Linked DNA regions of Macaca fascicularis. Each later gene encodes a partner of the first gene's protein in a complex. Links are inferred from orthologs where the notes say so. Each region holds a gene or a part of one and is shown in the gene's direction. Other genes may lie near its edges.

The links.
Region 2: MED12 (region 1) and MED24 share a complex: the UniProt entries of both Homo sapiens proteins name them as parts of the mediator complex. The link is inferred for Macaca fascicularis from reciprocal best matches to the Homo sapiens genes MED12 and MED24.
Region 3: MED12 (region 1) and MED7 share a complex: the UniProt entries of both Homo sapiens proteins name them as parts of the mediator complex. The link is inferred for Macaca fascicularis from reciprocal best matches to the Homo sapiens genes MED12 and MED7.
Region 4: MED12 (region 1) and MED20 share a complex: the UniProt entries of both Homo sapiens proteins name them as parts of the mediator complex. The link is inferred for Macaca fascicularis from reciprocal best matches to the Homo sapiens genes MED12 and MED20.
Region 5: MED12 (region 1) and MED18 share a complex: the UniProt entries of both Homo sapiens proteins name them as parts of the mediator complex. The link is inferred for Macaca fascicularis from reciprocal best matches to the Homo sapiens genes MED12 and MED18.
Region 6: MED12 (region 1) and MED16 share a complex: the UniProt entries of both Homo sapiens proteins name them as parts of the mediator complex. The link is inferred for Macaca fascicularis from reciprocal best matches to the Homo sapiens genes MED12 and MED16.
Region 7: MED12 (region 1) and MED4 share a complex: the UniProt entries of both Homo sapiens proteins name them as parts of the mediator complex. The link is inferred for Macaca fascicularis from reciprocal best matches to the Homo sapiens genes MED12 and MED4.

Annotation. Positions count from the first base shown.
Region 1 is NC_088395.1:77,840,620-77,844,102, forward strand, and holds the end of MED12 (mediator of RNA polymerase II transcription subunit 12), read left to right. Parts: intron 1-1,152; coding exon 1,153-1,375; intron 1,376-1,754; coding exon 1,755-1,898; intron 1,899-2,415; coding exon 2,416-2,497; intron 2,498-2,707; coding exon 2,708-2,751; 3' UTR 2,752-2,983; downstream 2,984-3,483. UniProt on the Homo sapiens protein: Component of the Mediator complex, a coactivator involved in the regulated transcription of nearly all RNA polymerase II-dependent genes.
Region 2 is NC_088390.1:61,081,175-61,083,608, reverse strand, and holds the end of MED24 (mediator of RNA polymerase II transcription subunit 24), read left to right. Parts: intron 1-686; coding exon 687-767; intron 768-1,028; exon of another isoform or gene 1,029-1,094; coding exon 1,095-1,243; intron 1,244-1,379; coding exon 1,380-1,496; 3' UTR 1,497-1,934; downstream 1,935-2,434. UniProt on the Homo sapiens protein: Component of the Mediator complex, a coactivator involved in the regulated transcription of nearly all RNA polymerase II-dependent genes.
Region 3 is NC_088380.1:163,928,006-163,931,707, reverse strand, and holds the end of MED7 (mediator of RNA polymerase II transcription subunit 7), read left to right. Parts: intron 1-420; 5' UTR 421-437; coding exon 438-1,136; 3' UTR 1,137-3,202; downstream 3,203-3,702. UniProt on the Homo sapiens protein: Component of the Mediator complex, a coactivator involved in the regulated transcription of nearly all RNA polymerase II-dependent genes.
Region 4 is NC_088378.1:129,648,080-129,652,065, forward strand, and holds the start of MED20 (mediator of RNA polymerase II transcription subunit 20), read left to right. Parts: upstream 1-1,186; 5' UTR 1,187-1,287; coding exon 1,288-1,301; exon of another isoform or gene 1,302-1,924; intron 1,925-3,986. Other genes in the region: BYSL (bystin), read right to left, coding at 478-745. UniProt on the Homo sapiens protein: Component of the Mediator complex, a coactivator involved in the regulated transcription of nearly all RNA polymerase II-dependent genes.
Region 5 is NC_088375.1:206,730,028-206,734,222, reverse strand, and holds the start of MED18 (mediator of RNA polymerase II transcription subunit 18), read left to right. Parts: upstream 1-1,395; 5' UTR 1,396-2,336; coding exon 2,337-2,399; intron 2,400-2,618; coding exon 2,619-2,757; intron 2,758-4,195. UniProt on the Homo sapiens protein: Component of the Mediator complex, a coactivator involved in the regulated transcription of nearly all RNA polymerase II-dependent genes.
Region 6 is NC_088393.1:1,447,586-1,451,085, reverse strand, and holds part of MED16 (mediator of RNA polymerase II transcription subunit 16), read left to right. Parts: exon of another isoform or gene 1-214; coding exon 215-646; exon of another isoform or gene 647-710; intron 711-804; exon of another isoform or gene 805-1,370; coding exon 1,371-1,476; exon of another isoform or gene 1,477-2,510; intron 2,511-3,500. UniProt on the Homo sapiens protein: Component of the Mediator complex, a coactivator involved in the regulated transcription of nearly all RNA polymerase II-dependent genes.
Region 7 is NC_088391.1:27,201,984-27,205,483, reverse strand, and holds part of MED4 (mediator of RNA polymerase II transcription subunit 4), read left to right. Parts: intron 1-913; coding exon 914-971; intron 972-2,780; coding exon 2,781-2,867; intron 2,868-3,500. UniProt on the Homo sapiens protein: Component of the Mediator complex, a coactivator involved in the regulated transcription of nearly all RNA polymerase II-dependent genes.

The DNA of each region.
Region 1 (3,483 bases):
TGTAAAATCTGTGCTGGGGAAGTCACTGGGGCTAGGCTAGGAGGGGGCAGGCTGAGAGATGGCCTTGAATGCTCAGCTGAAGAATTGAGACACAGTCCCAGTAAGGACTCTTTTGATCAGAAGAGTGATAGGAGGAGTTGGGTATGTTGCAAGACTCCTTGGAATGAATGGATAGCATGTGTACTGGGAGGTGCAAGAAGAAGACTTCAGGCTGGGCGTGGTGGCTCATGCCTGTAATCCCAGGACTTTGGGAGGCCCAGGTGGGCAGATGACCTAAGGTCAGGAGTTTGAGATCAGCCTGGTCAACGTGGTGAAATCCCGTCTCTACTAAAAATACAAAAATTATCTGGGTGTGGTGGCATGCGCCTGTAATTCCAGCTACTCGGGAGGCTGAGGCAGGAGAATTGCTTGAACCTGAGAGGTGGAGGTTGCAGTGAGCCGAGATTGCATCACTGCACTCCCACCTGGGCGACAGAGTGAGACTCTGTCTCAAAAAGAAAAAAGAAGACTTGAGACGGGGAGCCTGGCCAGTAGACTCTTGGAGTGATATACAGGTGTAGTAGAACAACTTGAAATGTTATTGGGGAACAACAACAGCAACAGCAAAAAACCTCAATGAGTGTTTATAGAATGCCTATTTTTTTTTTTTTTTTTTGAGATAGAGTCTCGCTCTGTCGTCCAGGCTGGAGTTCAAGCAATTCTCCTGCCTCAGCCTCCTGAGTAGCTGGGATTACAGGCGCCCACTACCACGCTCAGCTATTTTTTTTTTTTTGTATTTTTGCTAGAGACGGGGTTTCACCATGTTGGCCAGGCTGGTCTGGAACTCCTGACCTCAAGTGATCCGCCCGCCTCAGCCTCCCAAAGTGCTGGGATTACAGGTGTGAGCCACCGTACCCAGCCCTATTTTTCATTTTTGTAAGAGAAAAAATAGCTAATGCAGATGAAAAATTCCTAACCATTAAGGTTATGAGACACTAAAATAGAGTATCATCTTATGCAACTTATTCCCCAGACTGGAAGTCTGGTTAGTGACAAGAGGAATGAATGAAATAACCTGCTAACGTTTCTTTCAGGTCAGGGACCCGAGGTTTATACTGACCCCCTCTCCCCACCTCCCTCACACCTTGACCTCTGGTCCTCTTGTCTTTGGAGGTTTTCACACCAGACACTGCAGCAGACACCCATGATAAGTACCATGACTCCAATGAGTGCCCAGGGCGTCCAGGCAGGCGTCCGCTCAACAGCCATCCTACCTGAGCAGCAACAGCAGCAGCAACAGCAGCAACAGCAACAGCAGCAGCAGCAGCAACAGCAACAGCAACAGCAGCAGCAGCAGTACCACATCCGGCAGCAGCAGCAGCAGCAGATCCTGCGGGTAAGGCACTGGGGAAATTTCCTCTGGGACCTGGGAGCCCAGGGAAGAGGAGAGGCACAAGTTCTTCCCACACAGTTACCAAGACTAAACGAGGCAGTGTATCAAAACACCTAGCAGAGCAGCTGGCCTCTAGTGGTGCTGGAGAAGTTAGTTTCCTACCCTCCCCCTTTTTGTTTTCTGGGAATCATAGTAGGAGAGAGTTGGACATTGTCCACTGGGTACCCTAGATTTGGTTTCTTTCTGGGCAGCTGTCTAAAAAGGGAAGGCAGTAGACCCCGAGCTCCCACCCTGCTTCCTCATCCCCTGCCCTCAGCCCTCCAGTTCTGAGTCTTAGCTTTCTCCCTCTGCTCCTTCTGAAGTATCTTTTATGTTCTTATAGCAGCAGCAGCAGCAGCAACAGCAGCAGCAGCAGCAGCAACAGCAACAGCAACAGCAGCAGCAGCAACAGCAACAACAGCAACACCAGCAGCAACAGCAGCAACAGGCGGCTCCTCCCCAACCCCAGCCCCAGTCCCAGCCCCAGGTAGCTACTGGACTAGAGCCCCAGGCTCAGGGACAACTGCCCAGGTTGGGCATGCAGCCAGTGAACTGGGTTGGGGACAGTATGGAATAGGGTAGAGGTGGGAGGCAGGGCATGGCACCCTAAAGAGGGATTGGGAGGCCAGGTGCGAGGCTCACGCCCGTAATCCCAACACTTTGGGAGGCCGAGGCAGGTGGATCACTTGAGATCAGGAGTTTGAGACCAGCCTGGCCAAGATGGTGAAACCCCATCTCTACTAAAAATTAAAAAAAAAAAAAAAAAAAAAAAAAGCCAGGCATGGTGGTGGGCACCTGTAATCCTAGCTACGTGGGTGGCTGAGGCAGAGAATTGCTTGAACTTGGGAGGCAGAGGTTGCAGTGAGCCGAGATCACACCACTATACTCCAGCCTGGGGGATGGAGCGCGACTCCGTCACAAAAACAAAAACAAACGGATTGGGAAAGGAGGTTGAAGAAGGCGAAAAGTTAGACTTCAGTCTTCCACTTCCTATTTCCACCCAGTTCCAGCGCCAGGGGCTTCAGCAGACCCAGCAGCAGCAACAGACAGCAGCTTTGGTCCGGCAACTTCAACAACAGCTCTCCAGTAAGCCTGCCTGCCTTCCCAAGGAGAACCCCATGGAATAAATTTAGGGGGCGGGGTGGGCCAAAGTAGCTGAAAAGATGGCTTCAGGCCCAGGTTATGAGAGGAGGCATTCCATTCCATCCCCTTCCCTTGATACCTGAACAGCTTTCCTCGTGCATACCCACACCCCTGCCTGGTCTGCCATCCCTGATAATCTCTGGTTTTTCACAGATACCCAGCCACAGCCCAGTACCAACATATTTGGACGCTACTGAGCCACCTGGAGGAACTGCTTGTGCACTGGATGTGGCCCCACCCTTTCCTCTTAATTCCCAATCCCGTTCCTGGGCTAGCACCAGTAGTGGTTGGGGCCCTTCCCTCAGGCTCCGTTTTTAATAAGTTTTTAGTATTTTTGTTAATGTGAGGCATTGAGCTGTTGGGTTTTGTATATTATTTATATAGAGACCCCAGAGCTGTTGCACCCAATACACAGAGCTTCTTTGCAAAGGGAGTGTGTGAGTTCTGCATGTCTGGGAAGGGTGGTCTCTTGGGAGAATGCTGGGGGCTGGATCAACAAGTCAAAGTCTTCGTTCTATTCCAATCATCTCCCCTGTTTACCTTACACTCTAAATTTCTTTTTTTTCTTTCTTTCTTTCTTTTTTTTTTTTTTTTTCTTTTTTTTTTTTTTGAGACGGAGTCTCGCTTTGTCGCCCAGGCTAGAGTGCAGTGGTGCAATATCAGCTCACTGCAACCTCCGCCTCCCAGGTTCCAGCGATTCTCCTCCCTCAGCCTCCTGAGTAGCTGGGATTACAGGTGTGTGCCATCACGCCCGGCTAACTTTTGTATTTTTTTTTTAGTAGAGACAGAGTTCCACCATATTGGCCAGGCTGGTCTCGAACTCCTGATCTCATAATCTACCTGCCTCAGCCTCCCAAAGTGCTGGGACTACAGGCGTGAGTCACCGCGCCTGGCCTAAATTTCTTACTTCTAATTGGATTGCTACCCTC
Region 2 (2,434 bases), on another chromosome or scaffold:
GAGTGCAGTGACGTGATCTTGGCTCACTGCAACCTCCGCCTCCTGGGTTAAGCAGTTTTTCTGTCTGAGCCTCCTGAGTCGCTGGGACTACAGGCGCCTGCCACAACGCCCGGCTAATTTTTGTATTTTAGTAGAGATGGGCTTTCGCCATATTAGTCAGGCTGGTCTCAAACTCCTGAACTCAGGTGATCTACCCGCCTTGGCCTCCCAGAGTGCTAGGATTACAGGCATGAACCCCCGCGCTCAGCCTGTTTTTTTGAGACAGGGTTTTGCTCTGTTGCTCATGCTGGAGTGCAGTGGCACCATCTCGGCTCACTGCAGCCTTGTTCTCCTGGGCTCAAGCAGTCTGCCTCAGCCTCCCAAGGAGCTGGGACTACAGGCTTTGGCACCATGCCCAGCTAATTTTTGTATTTTTTGTAGAGATGGGGTCTCGCTAGTTGCCAAGGTTGGTCTTGAACTCCTGGGCTTAAGCAGTCCTCCTGCCTTGGCCTCCCAAAGTGCTGGAATTACAGGTGTGAGCCCCTGCACCCAGCCTCCCTCTGTGCTCTTGATCTCAGGGTCTTCTCTGGGCTTTCCATGTACCAGTTACCTCCGATGGGTGAAGGTCAGGTGGGGGTATCCCCAGGGAGCGCCGCTTTTGCACTCGGCAGGCTGTTCCCCAGCGCTCTGTCTGCTCTGTCCCACAGCAGACCGGTCCATGAGCAGCTCCCTCTCAGCCTCTCAGCTCCACACCGTCAACATGCGGGACCCTCTGAACCGAGTCCTGGGTAAGTTCCCCACCCGTGCTGCTGAACCTGGGGTTAAGCTGGACGAGTCCCTCTCCTCATGGAGGCTGGGCGACCTTGTCATCTGGAAGGGGCCTCATGGTGCCCCTCCCTTCTCCCTCCATGCTCCTCATTGCTGGCTGTCCTGGCTCCCAGGCTCCTGTCTAGTTCCCCCCCTCCCCTCCCCGGTTGCCTTTTATATTTTCTCTCTCTGACACCCCGTTTTGGGGACATGCTCAGCATGTATTTCTTTTCCCTTTTCAGTCCCGCCTTCTCCCAGAGTGTGACCTCACCCCCTCTCATGGAACTCCCTCCTGTCACTCTCCACAGCCAACCTCTTCCTGCTCATCTCCTCCATCCTGGGGTCGCGCACCGCTGGGCCCCACACCCAGTTCGTGCAGTGGTTCATGGAGGAGTGTGTGGACTGCCTGGAGCAGGGTGGCCGCGGCAGTGTCCTGCAGTTCATGCCCTTCACCACCGTGAGTACCACCTTCCTGGCTCTCCCGCTGGTGCTGGGGCCTCGGTGCAGCCCTTGGAGCAGGGAGGGGCCTCCTTCCCCTGGGACAGCACGCCCACCACCAGCCATCCAGCAAGCAGCATCTCTGTCTGTGGCAGGTGTCGGAACTGGTGAAGGTGTCAGCCATGTCCAGCCCCAAGGTGGTTCTGGCCATCACGGACCTCAGCCTGCCCCTGGGCCGCCAGGTGGCTGCTAAAGCCATTGCTGCACTCTGAGGAGCTTGGCATGGCCGCAGTGGGGGCTGGGGGCTGGGGACTGGCACAGCCCCAGGTGCCTCCAAGGGAAGCAGTGAGGAAAGATGAGGCATCGTGGCTCACATCCGCTCCACATGGTGCAAGAGCCTCTGGCAGCTTCTAATTCCCCGCTTCTGACTCCTGACCTCCAGGATGTCTCCTGGTTTCCTCTTTTGAAATTTCTTCTCTGTCTGCCAGCACCTGAGGAGTGTGAGCAGCCTGGACCACAAGCCCAGTGGTCACCCCTGTGTGCGCCCGCCCCAGCCCAGGGGTAATCTTACTTCTGAGGAACTTTCTAGACGCAGAGAGTGTGTGTGTGTGTGTGTGTGTGTGTGTGTGTGTGTGTGTATATATTTTGTAATATGTGAGGGAAATCTACCTTTGTTCATGTGTAAATAAAGCTCCTCGTGGATCCCTTTGCGACTGTGGGTGCTGTTGGTATCAGTGTCACCCGGGGCGGGGCACAGTGCTCTCTCCCTGGACTGCCTGTGCTGTGGCCGGGGAAAGCGCACTCCTGTGGTGAGGAGGAGGAGGAAGAGGTGCAGAGGTGGCAGGGCTTAGGGTCCTATGTGGACTTGCTCAGCTGAGGAAGGGCCAGGGGAAAGCAGCTTCCCTTCCTTGGAGCCAAGTTGGCCGGCCTGCTGCCCCTCCCGCAAAGCCAGCTGTACCCTGAAAGGGGAGAGGCTTTGGCTCAGGGCCCCACAGTGCTGGGGCAGGGTGGCCTGCTCTGCTTTCTCCCGAACCTGGCCCAACCCTACCCACACTCTGACTAGCCTGGGATTTGGTCTGTTGCCTCCAAAAAAGGACTGGGGGATGGGAGGCGGGGGGATGAGGGCCGGACCTTTCTTTAACCCTTCCTTGCCTGCCTCACACGTCTCCGAGCCTGGCAGTGGACACTTCTGACCCTGCTTTCCGAGGAG
Region 3 (3,702 bases), on another chromosome or scaffold:
GGCTAATTTTTTTTGTCTTTTAGTAGAGACGGAGTTTCACCCTGTTAGCTAGGATGGTCTCGATCTCCTGACCTTGTGATCCACCTGCCTCGGCTTCCCAAAGTGCTGGGATTACAGGTGTGAGCCATCGCACCCGGTGGAAGATTTTCTTTAGAGATCAGAAGATGCTACAGATTTTTTCATGCTGATGAAATTATTAGGGAGAGAATGGAAAATATGTGAATGGTTGAGAATATAATGCCTACTTAGAAAATATGGCAAACTTTACCTATCATAAATGTTAGTTTTAGAAACCAAGGAGATCATCTTGTCTTGGACCCCAAACTACTGGAAGAAAAGGAAGAAAATATTCTGTCTGTAGTTATGAAATGTAACAGGTTTGTTTTGTGGCTCTAATAAATCTTTGGTCTGTGTCCATAGGTTCTTGATAGTCCACAATGGGTGAACCACAGCAAGTAAGTGCACTTCCACCACCTCCAATGCAATATATCAAGGAATATACAGATGAAAATATTCAAGAAGGCTTAGCTCCCAAGCCTCCCCCTCCAATAAAAGATAGTTACATGATGTTTGGCAATCAGTTCCAATGCGATGATCTTATCATCCGCCCTTTGGAAAGTCAGGGCATCGAACGGCTTCATCCTATGCAGTTTGATCACAAAAAAGAACTGAGAAAACTTAATATGTCTATCCTTATTAATTTCTTGGACCTTTTAGATATTTTAATAAGGAGCCCTGGGAGTATAAAACGAGAAGAGAAACTAGAAGATCTTAAGCTGCTTTTTGTACACGTGCATCATCTTATAAATGAATACCGACCCCACCAAGCAAGAGAGACCTTGAGAGTCATGATGGAGGTCCAGAAACGTCAACGGCTTGAAACAGCTGAGAGGTTTCAAAAGCACCTAGAACGAGTAATTGAAATGATTCAGAATTGCTTGGCTTCTTTGCCTGATGATTTGCCTCATTCAGAAGCAGGAATGAGAGTAAAAACTGAACCAATGGATGCTGATGATAGCAACAATTGTACTGGACAGAATGAACAAAGAGAAAATTCAGGTCATAGGAGAGATCAGATTATAGAGAAAGATGCTGCCTTGTGTGTCCTAATTGATGAAATGAATGAAAGACCATGAAAGATGTTTATGTTTCTTTTTTCCTTTTGATAAATAGCCTCATATATTAGTTTATTTTCTTTTGGACAGTCTTAAGAGAGGTTTCACTAAAAATGTAAACAGCTTTAATCTTGACTCCAACTTTTTCAATTATGAGATGTCATAGGCAGTAATTTCACTGTATAACAAGCATAGACAAATGAGTACCCCTGCACTAAGAATAATCACTTTAAAAAGCAAAGTGTTCACCGCTGTTGTATGGGACATTCCTATGTTTTGGAGTTGCGGTAAAACTTTGATGATAACCTCAGTAATAGCAAAAGTTTTCGTCTTTGAAAAGGGGATTTATCATTTGCTTTAAGAATGATAGAGGAATAATGGATATCAATCTATAAATGTAAAACTATGATATCTTTAAACTTATTCCATTAAAAATTTTGCTTAAGCTGCAAAAGGTAGTATAACATGTTAATAGAGAGGAGCCCAGAAGAATTATAAAACAGAAACTTTATTTTTTCCTCATGACTGCTCCTGTAAACCCACTATCTCAGTCTTTTCTCCCTATCCTGAATAGACTCTTGCAGGCAAGTCCCATGAATTGTTTTTTTCTCCAGTCACTCAGGTAATAAGTCCTTTGGCCATTTTAAGTTACAGACATTAATTTTAGTAATTAAGATGTCTATGTCATTAGCTACACATTTTCTTTAAAGCTAAGCCCAGACTTGCTTAAGTCCACATTGGGAAAGGGGTTTGACGGCAGAGACTGCTAGGTGTCTACCAGAGAGTCTTGTTCTTTGAAGATACGTTGCCAAGATGTGGCAACCCAACCAGGGACATTTCCGTACTGCCAGCATCTCTGTGAGAACATATGATTAAGTTCTAGGCAGTGAAATGTGGGCATAGGAATCCAGGCTTGCCCCATAAACATTTCTTGCATGATCCTCCATTCTTTTCTCCCAACTGCTGGTTGCATGGTCATATCCAGGATAAGTTTGGAAGCCACCGAAGATGGCAAAGATTGTCAGTCTGGGTCTTTGAATGACTGTGAGGACTAAGTCTTCTTTTCATTAACTCCACTCTGCCCCTCACTAATTGGACTTTATGTGAGCACTTTCTTCTCCCCACTGTCCATCACCTCTTCCACCAAGGTGTTAGTAGAGAGTTGACTTTGTTTCTGAGGATCTTTGCCTGCCATTTTCTTAATGTAGGCCAGTAGTTCTTAAAGTGTGTGGTCCTGGACCAGCAGCATTGGTACCATTTGGGGACTCACTAGAAATAAAAGTTTTAGTATAATCCATAGGTTCAGAAAAATAAAAAATAAATGAAGTTTCTCTAGCTCCATCCCAGACCTTTTCAACCAGAAAGTTGAAAAGACCAGCGGGGGCAACATAGTGAGAACTTCTCTCCATTGCTATTTAATTTTAAAAGGAAAGGATATAGGGTATGTTGATTGAAGGATAAGTTGAACATATAAACCATGAGGAGGACAGAAAGTGTCTGAAGTTTTGAGTTAGTAGCCCTGGAGACCATCCTTCCTGTTAGCTTCATTCTCTTTACTGATGAACTTCTTTAATGATGTAGGTGGAGAACATGGCAACTAACAGTTCCCATGTGTTAAGCATTTCTATGTTTACCACTGTCTGGGAGTTCTCTCTCAAATACGAAAAAAAATGAGGTTAATTAACGACCTAGACATGAGGAATTAGGGGTTGCATACTTGATTCCAACTGGGCAAATCAACTGGGACTTGGCTCCCATAATAATTTGACAGTCCCCACTATGTCTATGTATGGAAGAGTCAGTCTGTCTCAGAGGAAGGAAGTGGTGCTGAACTAACAACGAGATATCCACTACAGATCAGGCACGTGTAAACTTAATATAAATAGCAAAAATAAACTGACTGTACAAATCTGTGTTCTCTTTATGAGAGTAGTTTTTCCCCAGCTATTCATTTATTCATGGTATTCATTTGATGAATACTTACTGTGGTCACCTCTATGCCTGATGCTAGTTTAAGTGTTGGATGTGTCGGAAGGGCGAAGGAAAATGTAACTAAGATAATAAAACGAATTGATTTTTGAAGGTGATAGTTTGTGTCTTAACTATTCAGCCATTACAGCACCTTCAGAAGAATCTTGCTTCCAGTTATGTTTCTATTGTCTGTTCAAATCACCTTGTCCACATTATCTTCTCTTTTCAAGGCATGTGTACATGTTCACTTCTTTTTTATCTCTTAAAACTTTTTTTTTTTATTTTTTGAGATGAAGTCTCATTCTTTCGCCAGGCTGGAGTGCAGTGGCGCAATCTGGGGCCACTGCAACCTCCAACTCCCAGGTTCAAGCGATGCTCCTGCCTCAGCCTCCCGAGTAGCTGGGACTACAGGCACGTGCCACCATGCCCACTAAATTTTGTATTTTTAGTAGAGAAGGAGTTTCACCATGTTGACCAGGATGGCCTGGATCTCCTGACCTCGTGATCTGCCCGCCTGGGCCTCTCAAAGTGCTGGGATTACAGGAGTGAGCCACCATTCTTGGCCTAAAATTTTTTTTTTCTCTTTGAGTAGAGATGAGGTCTCACTATGTTACCC
Region 4 (3,986 bases), on another chromosome or scaffold:
GAGAAGCTTCTCAAGACCAATGCTATTGTTACCAGGGAAGCGACACTTTATCATAGAAAAATATTATTCTAAGAGTCTACTTAATTGACTCTCTACTGGGCTTGACTGTAAGGTCCTTAAGTCAGACGTGCCTATGTTGTTTACTTCTGTACCCAAACATTCGATAGAACTCCGAGCATAGTACAAAGCTCGTAGTGGGTATCCCATATATATTTACAAAACCAATGGATAAATGCTAGGGTGGAGCGAGCGATTACTGTTGGCCTAACTTAGGGGATGTGTAGAAGGGAGTGCCTAAAACTAGGAGTGGACGCGGAGGGCTCTGAACAGGGTTCAGTCTCCCATTCCATTACTTTTGCAAGTGTAATACGGACCCTTTGTTGACTCGAAGCAATTCCCCTGCCAGACACTTTTTAGCTGTCCACCCCGCCCCACTACTGGCCACTGTCTTCCTCGGATCTCATCCCAGACACTCACCCAGCCGCGTGGTGCGTTCCCGCGACGCCGCGGGCTTGTCCCCAGTCCCATGCTCGGCCTCGAGCTCCTCCTGTTGCTGCCGTGCTTGCTGCAAAATCCGCCGGCTCAGCCGGGGTCCCACATACTCTTCCTCCGTTTCTCCGGTCCTGCGACCCCGCCGCTTCTCCCGGACCCCTGCCCGCACCGCATTCCCAGCCAGGATCTGATCGGCCAGGGGCGCATGTTTTTCCTGACCCCCGACCCCACGGGCCGCCTTCAATTTGGGCATTTTTCTCGAAAACGTTGCCGCGGAGGTTCGCACGTGGAGACGGCGAAAAAGCCAGATTGCGCTTGCGCGGTGGACTCCCGGCTCTCAAGAGGCCACGCGGCGATCACAGCGCCCCCTAGCATTCGGAGGCCAGAAGCGCCATCAGCGCCGCCCCTCCCACTAAAAGAGCTCCCGGGTTCCGGTGCTGGACTCCCCAATATATTTACAGCCTTTAACGTTAGCTTCTCTCAACAGTGCAGTCTTTGAGTGTCGCTCTTAGCTTCATGGGTCTAGGCCTAGAGTGCTCAGCCAAACGAGAATGTCTGGATTTAGAAACCTGTGGGCGGGAATCCGCAGATGATGTCACTAGAGGTGTCACCGAGGGGCCCTGAGACCCGCCCCACTCCTTGGGGAAGGCGTGGACCCGGCGCTCTGTTTTTACGTATTTCCGGAGTCTCTTCCGAGACCGAAGGTTGTGTTGGGGAACTGAAGCAGTTTCTGTGGGCGGATAGGGAACCCTGCGTTTCTACCGTGTGATCCGGCCGCCTTCCTGGCCCGACGCCATGGGAGTGACTTGGTAGGACTGCAGGGGGTTTTGTAGGGCGGAGCTTGGAGTTGTGAAGGGCCGAAAAGAGGACCTTGACCGTGGTCCGCCGTCCCCTGGGAGCTGTCCTCGGGTTGTGTGGATGAGAGGATGCCGTGCGAGCCGCGGGTTCCCCGGCCTTGTTTCCTCGGAGATGCGCCCCTTCCTCTTGGAAGGCGGGAAAGCAAAGCGAAGTTTTTTTTTTTTTTTTTTTTTTTTCTTTAAGACGGAGTCTCGCTCTGTCGCCAGGCTGGAGTGCAGTGGTGCGATCTTGGCTCACTGCACCCTCCGCCTCTTGGGTTCAAGCGATTCTCCTGCCTCAGCCTTCCGAGTAGCTGGGACTACAGGCGCCCACCACCACGCCCGGCTATTTTTTGTATTTTTAGTAGAAATGGGATTTCACCATATTGGCCAGGCTGGTGTCGACAAAGCAAAGTTTTTTGTTTTTTTTTTTGTTTGTTTGTTTGTTTTTGAGACGGAGTCTCGCTCTGTCACCCAGGCTGGAGTGCAGTGGCCGGATCTCAGCTCACTGCAAGCTCCGCCTCCCGGGTTCACGCCATTCTCCTGCCTCAGCCTCCCGAGTAGCTGGGACTACAGGCGCCTGCCACCTCGCCCGGGTAAGTTTTTTGTATTTTTAGTAGAGACGGGGTTTCACCGTGTTAGCCAGGATGGTCTCGATCTCCTGACCTCGTGATCCGCCCGTCTCGGCCTCCCAAAGTGCTGGGATTACAGGCTTGAGCCACCGCGCCCGGCCGACAAAGCAAAGTTTTTATCCCAGGAACCTATCAATGGTTGTGTACCTCATTCCCTTCTAGATTTATTTTCCTTCCCGTGAGGCCATAGTACTGCCCGCAATGGGACGTCAGGGTTGGAAATAGGGTCTTTGGACTGTGACCCACCTGCAGACAGGGTTAGAGGGAGTGTGTTATAAGCAATCAGGAAACAGTATTTTTAAAGATTTTCTTTATTTTTCTTTATTTCTTTTTCTTTCTTTCTTTTTTTTTTTTTTGAGACGGAGTTTCGCTCTTGTTGCCCAGACTGGAGTGCAATGGCGCGATCTCGGCTCACAGCAACCTCCGCCTCGCGGGTTCAAGCCATTCTCCTTCCTCAGACTCCGGAGTAGCTGGGATTACAGGCATGCGTCACCACGCCCGGCTAATTTTGTATTTTTGGTAGAGACGGGGTTTCTCCATGTTGGTCAGGCTGGTCTCGAACTCCAGACCTCAGGTGATCCGCCCGCTTCGGCCTCCCAAAGTGCTGGGATTACAGACGTGAGCCACCGCGACCGGCCAAGATTTTTGCCTACCCTTCCCTCAGCCATCAAATGCAGTTAGACCAGCTTGTGTCTGTTTCTAATTTGCCCATTTTAAGATCTTGGGTCCAGAGGGAAAAAGAGGCTATTGAAAATAAGGAGATCATGGTTCCAGGCACTTTATCTCTTTAGGACCCGTTTCCCACTATGTTTAATTCCATGGTTAGTCTAGTTTCAGAGGAGTTTTTATCTTTCATAGGTTTTAAGTCTCCGTTGGAAGAAGATGAGGTAGCAGGGAAAGGTATGGGTCCAGTGCTTGTGGAGGCGTTAGTTGTAAGGTGCCAGGTCCCAGAACATTTTTTTCTTATCTCAGTAGATGTGAGCATTTTTCCCCGTGGGAGAAACCCAGAGGCCAGGATATCTGAAGCCAGTGGCTATAGGCTTCTCATACAAAAGCATGTGTAGGGGAAATACTTTTCCTCCTGGTAGCCCAGGTTCTTGCAGGTTTCTCAGTGATTGCACTCTTGTTTCCCACAGTTCACATCATGATCCTCCTGTGTTCCTTAATGGAAGCAAGATATGTGAGGGATGGAAATAGAAAGGATGCAGCGTAGAACCCTGGAACCCCATGCTCTTTTTTAAATAAATAGAAATGGGTTCTTGCTGTTTTGTACATCCAGGTCTTGAATTCCTGAACTCAAGCGAGCCTCCTGCTTTGGTGTCCCAAAGTATTGGCATTACAGACACGAGCCACCGTGCCCAGCCACCCCTGCTTTTTAAATGGAGAAGGCAGGCCGGGCGCGGTGGCTCAAGCCTGTAATCCCAGCACTTTGGGAGGCCGAGACGGGCGGATCACGAGGTCAGGAGATCGAGACCATCCTGGCTAACACGGTGAAACCCCGTCTCTATTAAGAAATACAAAAAACTAGCCGGGCGAGGTGGCGGGCGCCTGTAGTCCCAGCTACTCGGGAGGCTGAGGCCGGAGAATGGCGTAAACCCGGGAGGCGGAGCTTGCAGTGAGCAGAGATCCGGCCACTGCACTCCAGCCTGGGTGACAGAGCGAGACTCCGTCTCAAAAAAAAAAAAAATAAATAAATAAATAAATAAATAAATAAATGGAGAAGGCAGCTCCAGGGCAAGGGCTCTCTGTTGGCACCCTTATCAACGTTTTCAGAATCCTAGGACTTCTGTCCCTTGTAGCGTCAGTTTAGGGATTCTTTTATATTTCAACATAAGGCACATTAGCAACATTGTTTATCAGTGCTTTTTCTGATAGAGTAGTGACAATTTTTAGCAACAGAAGGACTCTACCCTAATAGATTCATTTAGTTGATCATAAAGCAATGTCATCTATGACTGTTTTCTTGATTTCTATATAGCTAAGTACTGCCTGTACTATTGTTTATTAATTTTTTAAATTGATCTTT
Region 5 (4,195 bases), on another chromosome or scaffold:
AGACAGGATCTCCCTCTGTTGCACAGGCTGGAGTGCAGTGGCACTACCTCAGCTCACCACAACCTCTGCCTCCTGGGCTCAAGCAATCCTCCCACCTCAGCCTCCCAAGTAGCTGGGACTGCAGGTACAAGCCACTACGTTCAGTTAATTTTTGTATTTTTTGTAGAGACAGGGTTTCACCATGTTGTTCAGGCTGGTCTTAATTCCTGAGCTCAAGCTATCTGCCCGCCTTGGCCTCCCAAAGTGCTGGGATTACAGGCCTGAGCCACCATGTCCCGCCTGGTCATTTTTCTCTAGGCTCTCTCCTTTCCCAAACTTTTCTCCATGTTGCAACCAGGGTTCTTTTAAAGCTCACACGTGTTCTTTTAGTCTGGCACTGCAGAGTACTCCTGGATCTGGACCTACTCCTTTTCCAGACTTTTAAATTTTTATTTATTATTTATTTATTTATTTTTTTGAGACAGAGCCTCTCTCTGTATCCCAGGCTACAGTGCAGTGGACGATCTCGGTTCGCTGCAACTTCTGCCTCCCACGTTCAAGCGATTCGCCCACCTCAACTTCCCTAGTAACTGCGATTACAGGCGCGTGTCACCATGTCCGGCTAATTTTTGTATTTTTAATAGAGACGGGGTTTTACCATCTTGGCCAGGCTGGTCTCAAACTCGTGATCTCAAGTGATCCACCTGCCTCGGCCTCCCAAAGTGCTGGGGTTACAGGCGTGAGCCACCGCGCCCTCAGTTCATTTTTCTTTTTAAGCCCATTATAATCTCTGTAAGTCCTATCAGTTCCAAGAGACTTTCTGCACAAATACATCTCCAGGTTGTCAAACCTAAAAATATTTTCCTAGAGGATGGCCTGTGACGTCAAGGCGCCAGGTAGACCCCGGAGGAAAGCTCCAAAGGAGGCCGCCATCTTTCTTACAGCAGCCCGGCATTTTGCGCATGCGCTTCTGATTGTCTGTCCGCAATGACGCTCTTCGGCCTTCTCGGCACCCATACGTTTGGGAACGGCAGTTTCGAGGTTTGTGAGACTTCGGCTTCCGACCGGAAGTGAGAAGAGCAGGAAGTTGGCTGGTTGCACCGGTCTGGGGGCTTCCCGGGCTCCGGTAACCGGAGGACTGGGATCTAATCGTCGCTCAAAGGCTCCTAGGTGCGCGGGTGCATATAATTCCCGACTTCTCGAGAAGACACTAGAGCCTCAAGGAGGTGTGCTTCTAGTGTTTAAGTGGACACGTGTTGTGGATGCTGGCTTAGAAGGACCTATATACCATCATTTTAAAATAACTTCCTCTTGGCTCTCTCTTTTTTTTTGAGACGGAGTTTCGCTCTTGTTGCACAGGCTGGAGTGCAACGGCGCGATCTCAGCTCACCACAACCTCGCCTTCCGGGTTCAAGCGATTCTGCTGCGTCAGCCTCCTGAGTAGCTGGGATTGCAGGCGCTCGCCACCAGGCCTAGCTAATTTTTTGTATTTTTAGTAGAGACGGAGTTTCTTAATGTTGGTCAGGCTGGTCTCGAACTCCCAACCTCCGGTTGATCCGCCAGCCTCGGCCTCCCAAAGTGCTGGGATTACAGGTGTGAGAAACCGCGCCTGGCCTTGGCTCTCTTTAAAAGGCATTTTTAGGCTAGCCGCAGTGACTCTCCCTCCTGTAGTCCCAGCTACTCGGGAGGCTGAGGTGGGAGGATCGCTTGAGCCCAGGAGTTCGAGGTTATAGTGAACTAGGAACTCCCCCACTGCACTCCATCCTGGGCTACAGAGCGAGATCCTGTCACCAAAAAAGAAAAGGGTATGGGGGAAAGGCATTTTCAGAGCGATGGAATGCCTAGATTCTAGTTTGGTCCCAACTCTGCTACCAAGTTGCTGTGTGTATCCTGTCCCTCTCTGAGTCTCAATGTCCTCATCTGTAAAAATGAAGGTCCCTTAAGACACTTTTCAGTTCTTCTGAATTTTGTTGCCTCTTTATTATCTCGTTTGAGCCACATAACCTTGGGAGTTAAAAATCATTGGCCTTTGGCTGGGCGTGGTGGCTCACGCCTATAATGCCAGCACTTTGGGAGGCCCACTCACCTGAGGATCATCTGAGGCCAGGAGTTCAAGGCCAACCTGGCCAACATGACAAAACTCTGTCTCTACTAAAAATATTAAAAAAAATTAGCCGGGTATGGTTGTGGGTGCCTGTAATCCCAGCTACTCGGGAAGCTGAGGCAGGAGAATCGCTTGAACCTGGGAGGCGGAGGCTGCAGTGAACAGAGATTGCACCATTGCACTCCAGCCTGAGCGACAAGAGTGAAACTCTGTCTCAAAAAAAAAAAAAAAAAAAAATTGCTGGTCTCATTTTATGAGGAAGATATTGAGTCCCAGGGTGAGGGGTTATAGACAGGACTTTCTCAAGATTGCACAGGTAACTTGGAGGTTTCAGAACTTGAGACTAGAAGGCAATGCTGTAACTCCATGACCAGATCTCCTTTTTATATTTCTGTATCATCAGTTCCTGGAACTGGCCATGTAAGACACTGAAATGTTTTTAAATGAATGAATCTTTTGATTTGAAGGCCAGTGCCACAACAGATTTGGTCTCTCTCGACTACTCTGATGTATAAACAAGTGAACTCTTTTCCAGGTATATCCCGTGCCTTACCTGACTGGGGGCTCTGAGTCCAGTTGTGTTGTCTTCAACTTAGACACCATGGAGGCACCTCCAGTCACCATGATGCCTGTCACTGGGGGCACCATTAACATGATGGAGTACCTATTGCAGGGTAAGTGAACCAGGGAACTTGGATTACCTGTTTTCCTCTTCTCTGTTCAGCTTCCCTTAAGATGAGAGACAACACAAAAGCAGCCTGCACAGTTTCTGGCACCCAACTATGTTTTTAACTGTTACTTTAAATTACAGTTTTACATGCACTAAACATATTAAATCTGCCATCTTGGCCGGGTGCAGTGACTCACGCGTGTAATCCGAGCACTTTGGGAAGCCGAGGCGGGTGGATCACGAGGTCAGGAGATTGAGACCATCCTGGCTAACACGGTGAAACCCTGTCTCTACTAAAAATACAGAAAGAAATTAGTCCGGCGTGATGGCGGGTGCCTGTAGTCCCAGCTACTTGGGAGGCTGAGGCAGGACAATGGTGCGAGCCTGGGAGGCGGAGATTGCAGTGAGCCGAGATCGCAACACTGCACTCCAGCCTGGGCGACAGAGCAAGACTCTGTCTCAAAAAAAAAAAAAAACCTTAACATATTTAAGTGTACTGTTCAGTATTGTTAAGTATATTAACATTGCTGAACAACAGATCTTTAGAACTTTGGTTTATTGTGAGTAGCTTGAAAAAATACTTAGTACAACTGTTTTTTTCTTTGAGACAGAGTCTCGATCGGTCACCCAGGCTGCAATGCAGTGGCATGATAACAGCTCATGCAACCTCCACTTCCCGGTTCAGTGGATTCTTGTATTTCAGCCCCCCGAATAGCTGGGATTGCAGGCGTGCATCACCATGCCCGGCTAGTTTTTGTATTTTTAGTAGAGAGTTGCAGTTTCATTATGTTGGCCAAACTGATCTTGAACTCTTGCCTTCAAGTGATACACTTGCCTTGGCCTCCCAAAGTGCTAGGATTACAGGGATGAGCCGCCACGCCCAGCCTAAAATGCTTGTTTATCATCCTATAAAACTGCAACTCTTTACCCCTTAAACACTAATTCCCACTCCCCTCTATGCCAAACCCTCAGCAGCTATCTTTCTAGGTCCTGTTTCTCTGATTTTTTTTTTTTTTTTTAAGATGGATTCTCACTCTGTTGCCCAGGATGGAGCACAGTGGTGCAATCTCAGCTTACTGCAGCCCCCACCTCCCAGGTTCAAGCAATTCTCCTGCCTCAGCCTCCTAAGTAGCGGGGTTACAGGCGTGCACCACCATGGCTAGCTAATGTTTGTATTTTTAGTAGAGACGGGGTTTCTCCACGTTGGCCAGGCTGGTCTTGAACTCCTGACCTCAGGTGATCCACCTGCCTTGGTCTCCCAAAGTGCTGGGATTACAGGCGTGAGCCACTGCGCCAGGCCAGATTTTGTCAACAAGTATCTGAATATGTTCCAAACATTTGAGCCATAGCCATGGAGGGAGAAAGATGACTAAAAAATAATGTATGTCAAGCCAGCTATTACAGGCTTATGACTGTAATTCCAGTCGTTTGGGAGGCTAAGG
Region 6 (3,500 bases), on another chromosome or scaffold:
CAAAGCAAAGGTGCCATTCCTTCCACCTTTCAGATGAGGAGACGGAGGGTCGGAGGGGACCACATCCCACACGGCTCAGGTGGCTGAGTCAGGATCTGAACCCAGGTGCACACTCCCCTGGCTTCTGCGTGGTTCTTCTGTGTGAGTGTTTCTCGGGGTCACAGAGGGAACCCCCGTGAGCCTGAGCGGCCCCTCCTCCCTCCCTTCTCCACAGTCAGGCGCCTCCAGCTTCGGGGAGAAGTTCTCCCGAGTGAAGTTCTCACCGTCGCTCACGCTGTTCGGCGGCAAGCCCATGGAGGGCTGGATCGCAGTGACGGTCAGCGGCCTGGTCACCGTGTCCCTGCTGAAGCCCAGCGGGCAGGTGCTGACGTCCACCGAGAGCCTGTGCCGGCTGCGCGGCCGTGTGGCCCTGGCGGACATCGCCTTCACAGGCGGCGGCAACATCGTGGTGGCCACGGCAGACGGCAGCAGCGCGTCGCCCGTGCAGTTCTACAAGGTGTGCGTGAGCGTGGTGAGCGAGAAGTGCCGCATCGACACGGAGATCCTGCCCTCCCTGTTCATGCGTTGCACCACCGACCTGAACCGCAAGGACAAGTTCCCCGCCATCACCCATCTCAAGTTCCTGGCCCGGGACATGTCGGAGCAGGTGAGCGGACACGGGCTGTCACGCAGGCTGGCAGGCTTGGAATGGAACGCTGCTTCTCAGGGTCCTGGAGGTGGAGACCCACAGGGGCCGTGGGCTAAACCAAGGTGTGGGCAGGGCCGGTCCCTCCTGGGGGCTCCAGGGGAGAACCCATTTCCTACCTTTCCCAGCATCTGGGGGCGCCCAGTCCCTCGGCTCGGGGCCCCTTCCTCCCGCTTCACGGCCACAGCACAGCCTCTTCCTGTCTCTCTCTGAATCTCGCCCTCCCACATCCTCTCGTGAGGACTCTGTGAAGACAATGGGGCCCCTGGACCCCCCCAACATGCTCTCCCGTCTCAGCGTCCTGAACCAAATCCCACCCACAGGTTCCTTCTGTGTGAGAGGCGGCCCAGCCACAGGTCCTAGAGCTGAGGATGGGATGTCCTGGGGACCACTGTCCAGCCGACCACACCAGGTCGCCTGGATTTCCGTTGTAATTCGGAATCAGTAACGCCCCAAACTCCTAGAAGCCCCCGACTTGGTTCCCTGTCCCGTTGCTCTCCCTGTGGGGGGCACCATCCGGGGACATCTGGGTTCCTGTGAGTGGAACTGGGGACAGGCAGGCCTGGGCTGGAATCCAGGAGGGCCTCGAGGGGCAGGCGTGGCCCCAGGGTCCCATGGCTCAGGCTCTGGTCGCGTGGCCAGCACAGCAGTGCCGGGTCTGCCCTCACCCCCACCTCCCCCGTAGGTGCTTTTGTGCGCGTCCAGCCAGACCAGCAGCATCGTGGAATGCTGGTCCCTGCGCAAGGAGGGGCTTCCCGTGAACAACATCTTCCAGCAGATCTCCCCCGTGGGTGAGTCTCCGGCCGGCTGCGGGAGGCCCTGGGCCTGCCCTTGGGGGCAGCTGGTTTTAATTTGGAGGCGGGTCTCGCTCTGTCACCCAGGGTGGTCCTGAACCCCACCCCTAAGCGATCCTCTTGCCTTGACCTCCAGTAGTGCTAGGATCTGGGGCGTGACCCCCGTGCCTGCCGGCCTTCTGAGTGTGTTAGGCATGTAGACTCTTCCATCCTTCCACTCCCGCCGCAGCGGCTGCCACCATCCTACGCGGAGCCGGGGCTCAGAGGCGGCGTTGCTCACCCGAGCTCACCCAGCAGGGACACCGTGAGGGGCTGCAGGCGTGCAGGCGGCTGTGGAGTGTGGGTCTGTGGGTGGGGCCGTCAGGCAGCAGGGCACAGGCCAGACCGGGCGGGGGCAGTGCACGGAATCCTCCAGAAGCTGGTTCAGGGAGAGGAAGCCACGGCTCAGCGGGTCAGCTGAGGCTGCTGAGAACACGCCCCTCACCCCACCCCCGCCCCCACCCACCTCCCCAGCAGCCTCTTCTGGGGCCCCCATTCCCATCTCTATCTGCCCGATGGGCCCCCGCACCCACGGAGCCAAGCCCGTCACCCCCACCTCCGGCACAAAATCTGGGGCTGGAGCGAAGCAGGGACGCCCGCCTGCCATGACCGTGGCCAGAACAGCCACTTGGTGCTCAGAGCCTCGGCGGCTGCGGGCCCGGTTTCCGGCCTCCGCCCTGGAGAAGGGAAGTGTTTTCCTGGCAGACAAGAGCCCAGGCCTTTGCCGACGAGCGCGAATGGACCCTGGAGCGGCCGGACGTGTGGGCTGGTGCTCCTCAGAAGCCACTAATGAGCCCCTGTCGAGAGGCCCCGATGGCTCCTGGGGCCTGCAGGTGTTTACGTCAACTGCCCATTGTGGCCGCAGGGGCGGTAAAGGTGAAGAGGGCGGCTGCCCGTTCCTTCCCCCGGGCCTCGTCGTGAGTCACCAGGCAGCTGAAGAGGGCCACTGCCGTTCCTTCCCCCAGGCCTCGTTCCTTCCCCCGGGCCTTGTGGTGAGTCACCCTGCAGTTTGAGCTGCGCTGGTTCCTATGGCAGCACCTGGCGCCACCCCGCGTGGCAGGCAGGGCTGCAAGGACCCTCAGCTTCACTGCCTGGTACCCCCGCTGGGCACATCTGTGTCCACCGTCTGCCCACAACCAGACCACCGGGTAGTCCCGGGCTCCAACGCTCCTCCTCGTCTCCTGCAGCCGTCCTCACCTGCTGGCCCAGCTCCTACTCGTCCCTAAGAGCCACGTCTCACATGCACGCCACAGCCTTTCTTGGGTCTCACGTCCCTGCAGCTGGGGGCCACTGAGACACAGTCCCTGCCACACCCATCTCTTCCCCCACCACCCCACGTGCCCACCATGCCAGGCTTCAGTCCCTGCGGCACCCAGCTCTTCACCCACTGCCCCACGTCCGCACTTAGCAGCTTAGCCTCCCCCTGCTTCAAGTCCCCTGTCATTTAGAAATGCTGACCGCAGGCCGGGCGCGGTGGCTCACGCCTGTAATCCCAGCACTTTGGGAGGCCGAGGCGGGCGGATCACAAGGTCAGGAGATGGAGACCACAGTGAAACCCCGTCTCTACTAAAAATACAAAAAATTAGCCGGGCGCGGTGGCGGGCGCCTATACTCCCAGCTACTCAGGAGGCTGAGGCAGGAGAATGGCGTGAACCCGGGAGGCGGAGCTTGCAGTGAGCCGAGATCGCGCCACTGCGCTCCAGCCTGGGCAACAGCGTGAGACTCCGTCTCAAAAAAAAAAAAAAAGAAATGCTGACCGCAGCCGTCAGTTGGATGGAGGAGGGGACGTAAATCGGGCTGTGAGGGCGCCCCGGGCACCAGCTGGGCGTGTGCTCATCATGGCGGCTGCTTCACTCAGTGCTAACCCTGTCTTTCCTGTGAGAGGCTCAGTTCCACAGGGCCAGCCGCCCTGACCACTGTGTGCCCTCCCCACATCTCAGCCACTCTCTGGGCCTCAGTGTCCCCAGGGGAATGCTGCTCAT
Region 7 (3,500 bases), on another chromosome or scaffold:
GGCAGGCAGATCACAAGGTCAGGAGTTCGAGACCAGTCTGGCCAACATAGTGAAACCCCGTCTCTACTACAAATACAAAAATTAGCCAGGTGTGGTGGTGTGTGCCTGTAACCCCAGCTACTCGGGAGACTGAGGCAAGAGAATCGTGTGAACCCGGGAGTCATAGGTTGCAGTGAGCCGAGATCACGCCATTGCATTCCAGCCCAGGTGACAGTGCGAGACTCTGTCTGAAAAAAAAAAAAAATTAAAATCAGGCATGGTAGCTCGTGCCTGTAATCCCGGCACTTTGGGAGGCCAAAGCGGGCAGATCACCTGAGGTCAGAAGTTCAAGACTAGCCTGGCCAACATGGTGAAATCCATCTCTACTAAAAATACAAAAAAATTTAGCTGGGCATGGTGGTTCACACCTGTAATCCCAGCTACTTGGGAGGCTGAGGCAGGAGAATCGCTTGAACCCAGGAGGTGGAGGTTGCGGTGAGCCGAGATCACGCGATTGCACTCCAGGCTGGGCAAAAAGAGCAAAACTCCATCTCAAAAAAAAAAAAGGGGGGGGTATTTTATTCTTGAACTAGTTACAAGAATAGGATGCTTTTGGGGTTGTGCATGGTCTAGATATCTCCTGCGTGTTTATGATAGAAGACGTGAAGAAAAAGTAGACAATCCAATTTATATTTTGTTTTTACAACTGAATTGTGAATGGGAGACTAGTTCATAAATATAATATTTCTTTCATTAAATATGACTGAAATAAATAATGTCAAGAGGTATTTCAGAACATTACAGATAATTGTTGGGATTTCCAGGTTTCGAAGATTGTTCTTGTAGGATAAAGGATCTTATGAATTAAGCCAAAAACTAAGTTTGATATAGTTGAAGAATAAATCACATTTTTTTTTTATGTTGTTTAAATTAGGCAACAGCTGTTTACCAAGCAAAGGAGAAACTCAAGTCAATAGAAAAAGCAAGAAAAGGTTAGTATGGGAAGACTGAATGACTTGAGAAGTTAAGGTTCTGTTTTCAAGAGACCAGTGCAAGAGGATATTACTGATAATCATTTGCTGCTGTTGAAAGGATTCAATAAATTTTTATTGTAAAGTGTGTTATGTTCTAGCATTGTGCTAGGTGTTGTGAGGGAGGTAGAAGTATCACATCCTTTTTCAGATTATAAAAAGCAATTAATACAAGGCAGTTTATGGCTGTGTGCCCAAATGTGCAGTAAAAACAGTGAGTTTATAAAATTGGTGGGAGAGGGAAAGAGAAGTACGGGTTAGAAGTGGAATTTGTACCAAATCTTGAAGGCTAGGACAGAGAGAGTGAAAGGACATCCATTGGACAGCTGAGCTGGGACTGAAACATCATGAAGTCAGAGCCAGATGTACATGAAGTCAGAGCCAGTTATAGTCTTGGCAGGTAAGCACGTTTGGTAGTGCAGAGGCCCACATGCCTTCCTGGCCTGCTGTCCCTCTTTCAAAGGCTTCTGTTACGGATCTTACGTGACTTTTTAGTTTGCCATACTAAACGTCAGAATTGTAATTACAACTTTGGTTACTTGCCTTTAATGATTTGTACATATGATTTTACATTTATTCATCTGAGATTTATTGTCTAACTGTCCTCTTTTTTGGGAACCTACCTTTTTATTGTTGCATATGAAAAATAGCTAATATTCTTCTGAGAGTTAGGTTAGGCTTCTATAGCAACAAACAAATCTCTAGGAGAGATGACTGAGGCTGGCTATTGACTTCTAGACCGTAGTTTGATTTTGTTTTTAATCTTCAAAAATTTTACATACACTTTGTTAGGTTGAAACAGTAAAGTTTGTAAAATGAAGTGTGTGGTTCTCACTTCTCAGAGGTAACTATTAATGTTTGGTATATGTCCTTCTAGATTTTTTTTCTAGATCTGTGAGTATGTATATAATAAAAATACAAATACACATATGTACATGTATTTTAAACAATCAGGTCATATCGAACATATTATTTAGTAGTGTTTTGTTTACCTAGTGAGTACATTGTAGACATCTTTCTACTTAGGTCTACTTAAGAGCCTTAGGGCATATTGATCAAACAGAGTGGTGTGAACTGTCTGCTCTGATTTCATAGCTTGGATGTCTTTGAGAAATAAAACACTATTTTCTTTTTTTTTTTTTTTTTTTTTTTTTTTTTTTTTTTTTTTTTTGAGACGGAGTCTCACGCTGTTGCCCAGGCTGGAGTGCAGTGGCGCGATCTCGGCTCACTGCAAGCTCCGCCTCCTGGGTTCACGCCATTCTCCTGCCTCAGCCTCCTGAGTAGCTAGGACTACAGGCGCCCGCCACCGCGCCCGGCTAATTTTTTGTATTTTTAGTAGAGACGGGGTTTCACTGTGGTCTCGATCTCCTGACCTTGTGATCCGCCCGCCTCGGCCTCCCAAAGTGCTGGGATTACAGGCTTGAGCCACCGCGCCCGGCCTAAAACACTATTTTCTCTATTTTATTTGTGCTCACTATTGCTTTCAGAAGAGTAATAGTATTTAATGGTAGTTAATAATTGAGATTATTGAGTGCTGTCATGCTAATCTCCAAAATTTGTTTATGTCAGCTAATGTTTCTGGATTAGTGTCCTGTTTTTGGAGATTTAAGTTTATACTAAATATGTAGATATTGTTAAGGAAGGCGGGTGACTGAGATGATTTTATTTTCAGGTAATTTAAAATTAAATATGATGGGTAACTGATAGATACATTTCTAAACTTGTATGTTTGTTAGACTACAGGTTATACTATCCTCTTAACTCTTTCAGGTGCTATCTCCTCTGAAGAAATAATTAAGTATGCACATAGGATCAGTGCAAGTAATGCTGTATGTGCTCCACTGACCTGGGTTCCAGGTAAACACACTCCTGTTTTATACTAGATGTATGTGATTTTGAAAATTCTTAGGTGACTATGTACACACATAGATTTAATTTAGAATGTATGTATCCTTAGAAACCTCTGCCACATATTTTCACATCTTTAATGGTTTATAAGTAATGATATAGGCCATGGGTTTTATAAATTTTGTTTTCTATGAAGCCATTATTGCTAGGGATTATGTTTCTTTCCTCTTTTGAAATAATAATTTGATTTTGTTTTTAAAGTACAAGATAATGTGATGCTTCTAAAGCTTGGATTTATATCCCATTATATCAGGGCTGGCCAGAAGCCAACTCTTTAGAGCCATTAGGATTTCCACAAAGGTTCCAGCCTAAGAAAGACAGTTCCAGTTATCTTAGATGCTAAAGACAAAGTGCTGTGTACCCAACAGTGAACACACAGGCTTGGAAAGAGCTAGGATAATTAGACAGCAAAAGAAAATATTAGGCTGCAACTATAATGACAGTGGATGAAACATAAAACAGGAGATGTAAGGTAGCAGCCTTATTGGAGGAAGGGGAAATATTAATAGTTGTCTCCACTTCAGTAACTCCTGAAGGGGCTGTGTTACCATGCTGAAAGCACTAAGGGTGACTATAATTTTG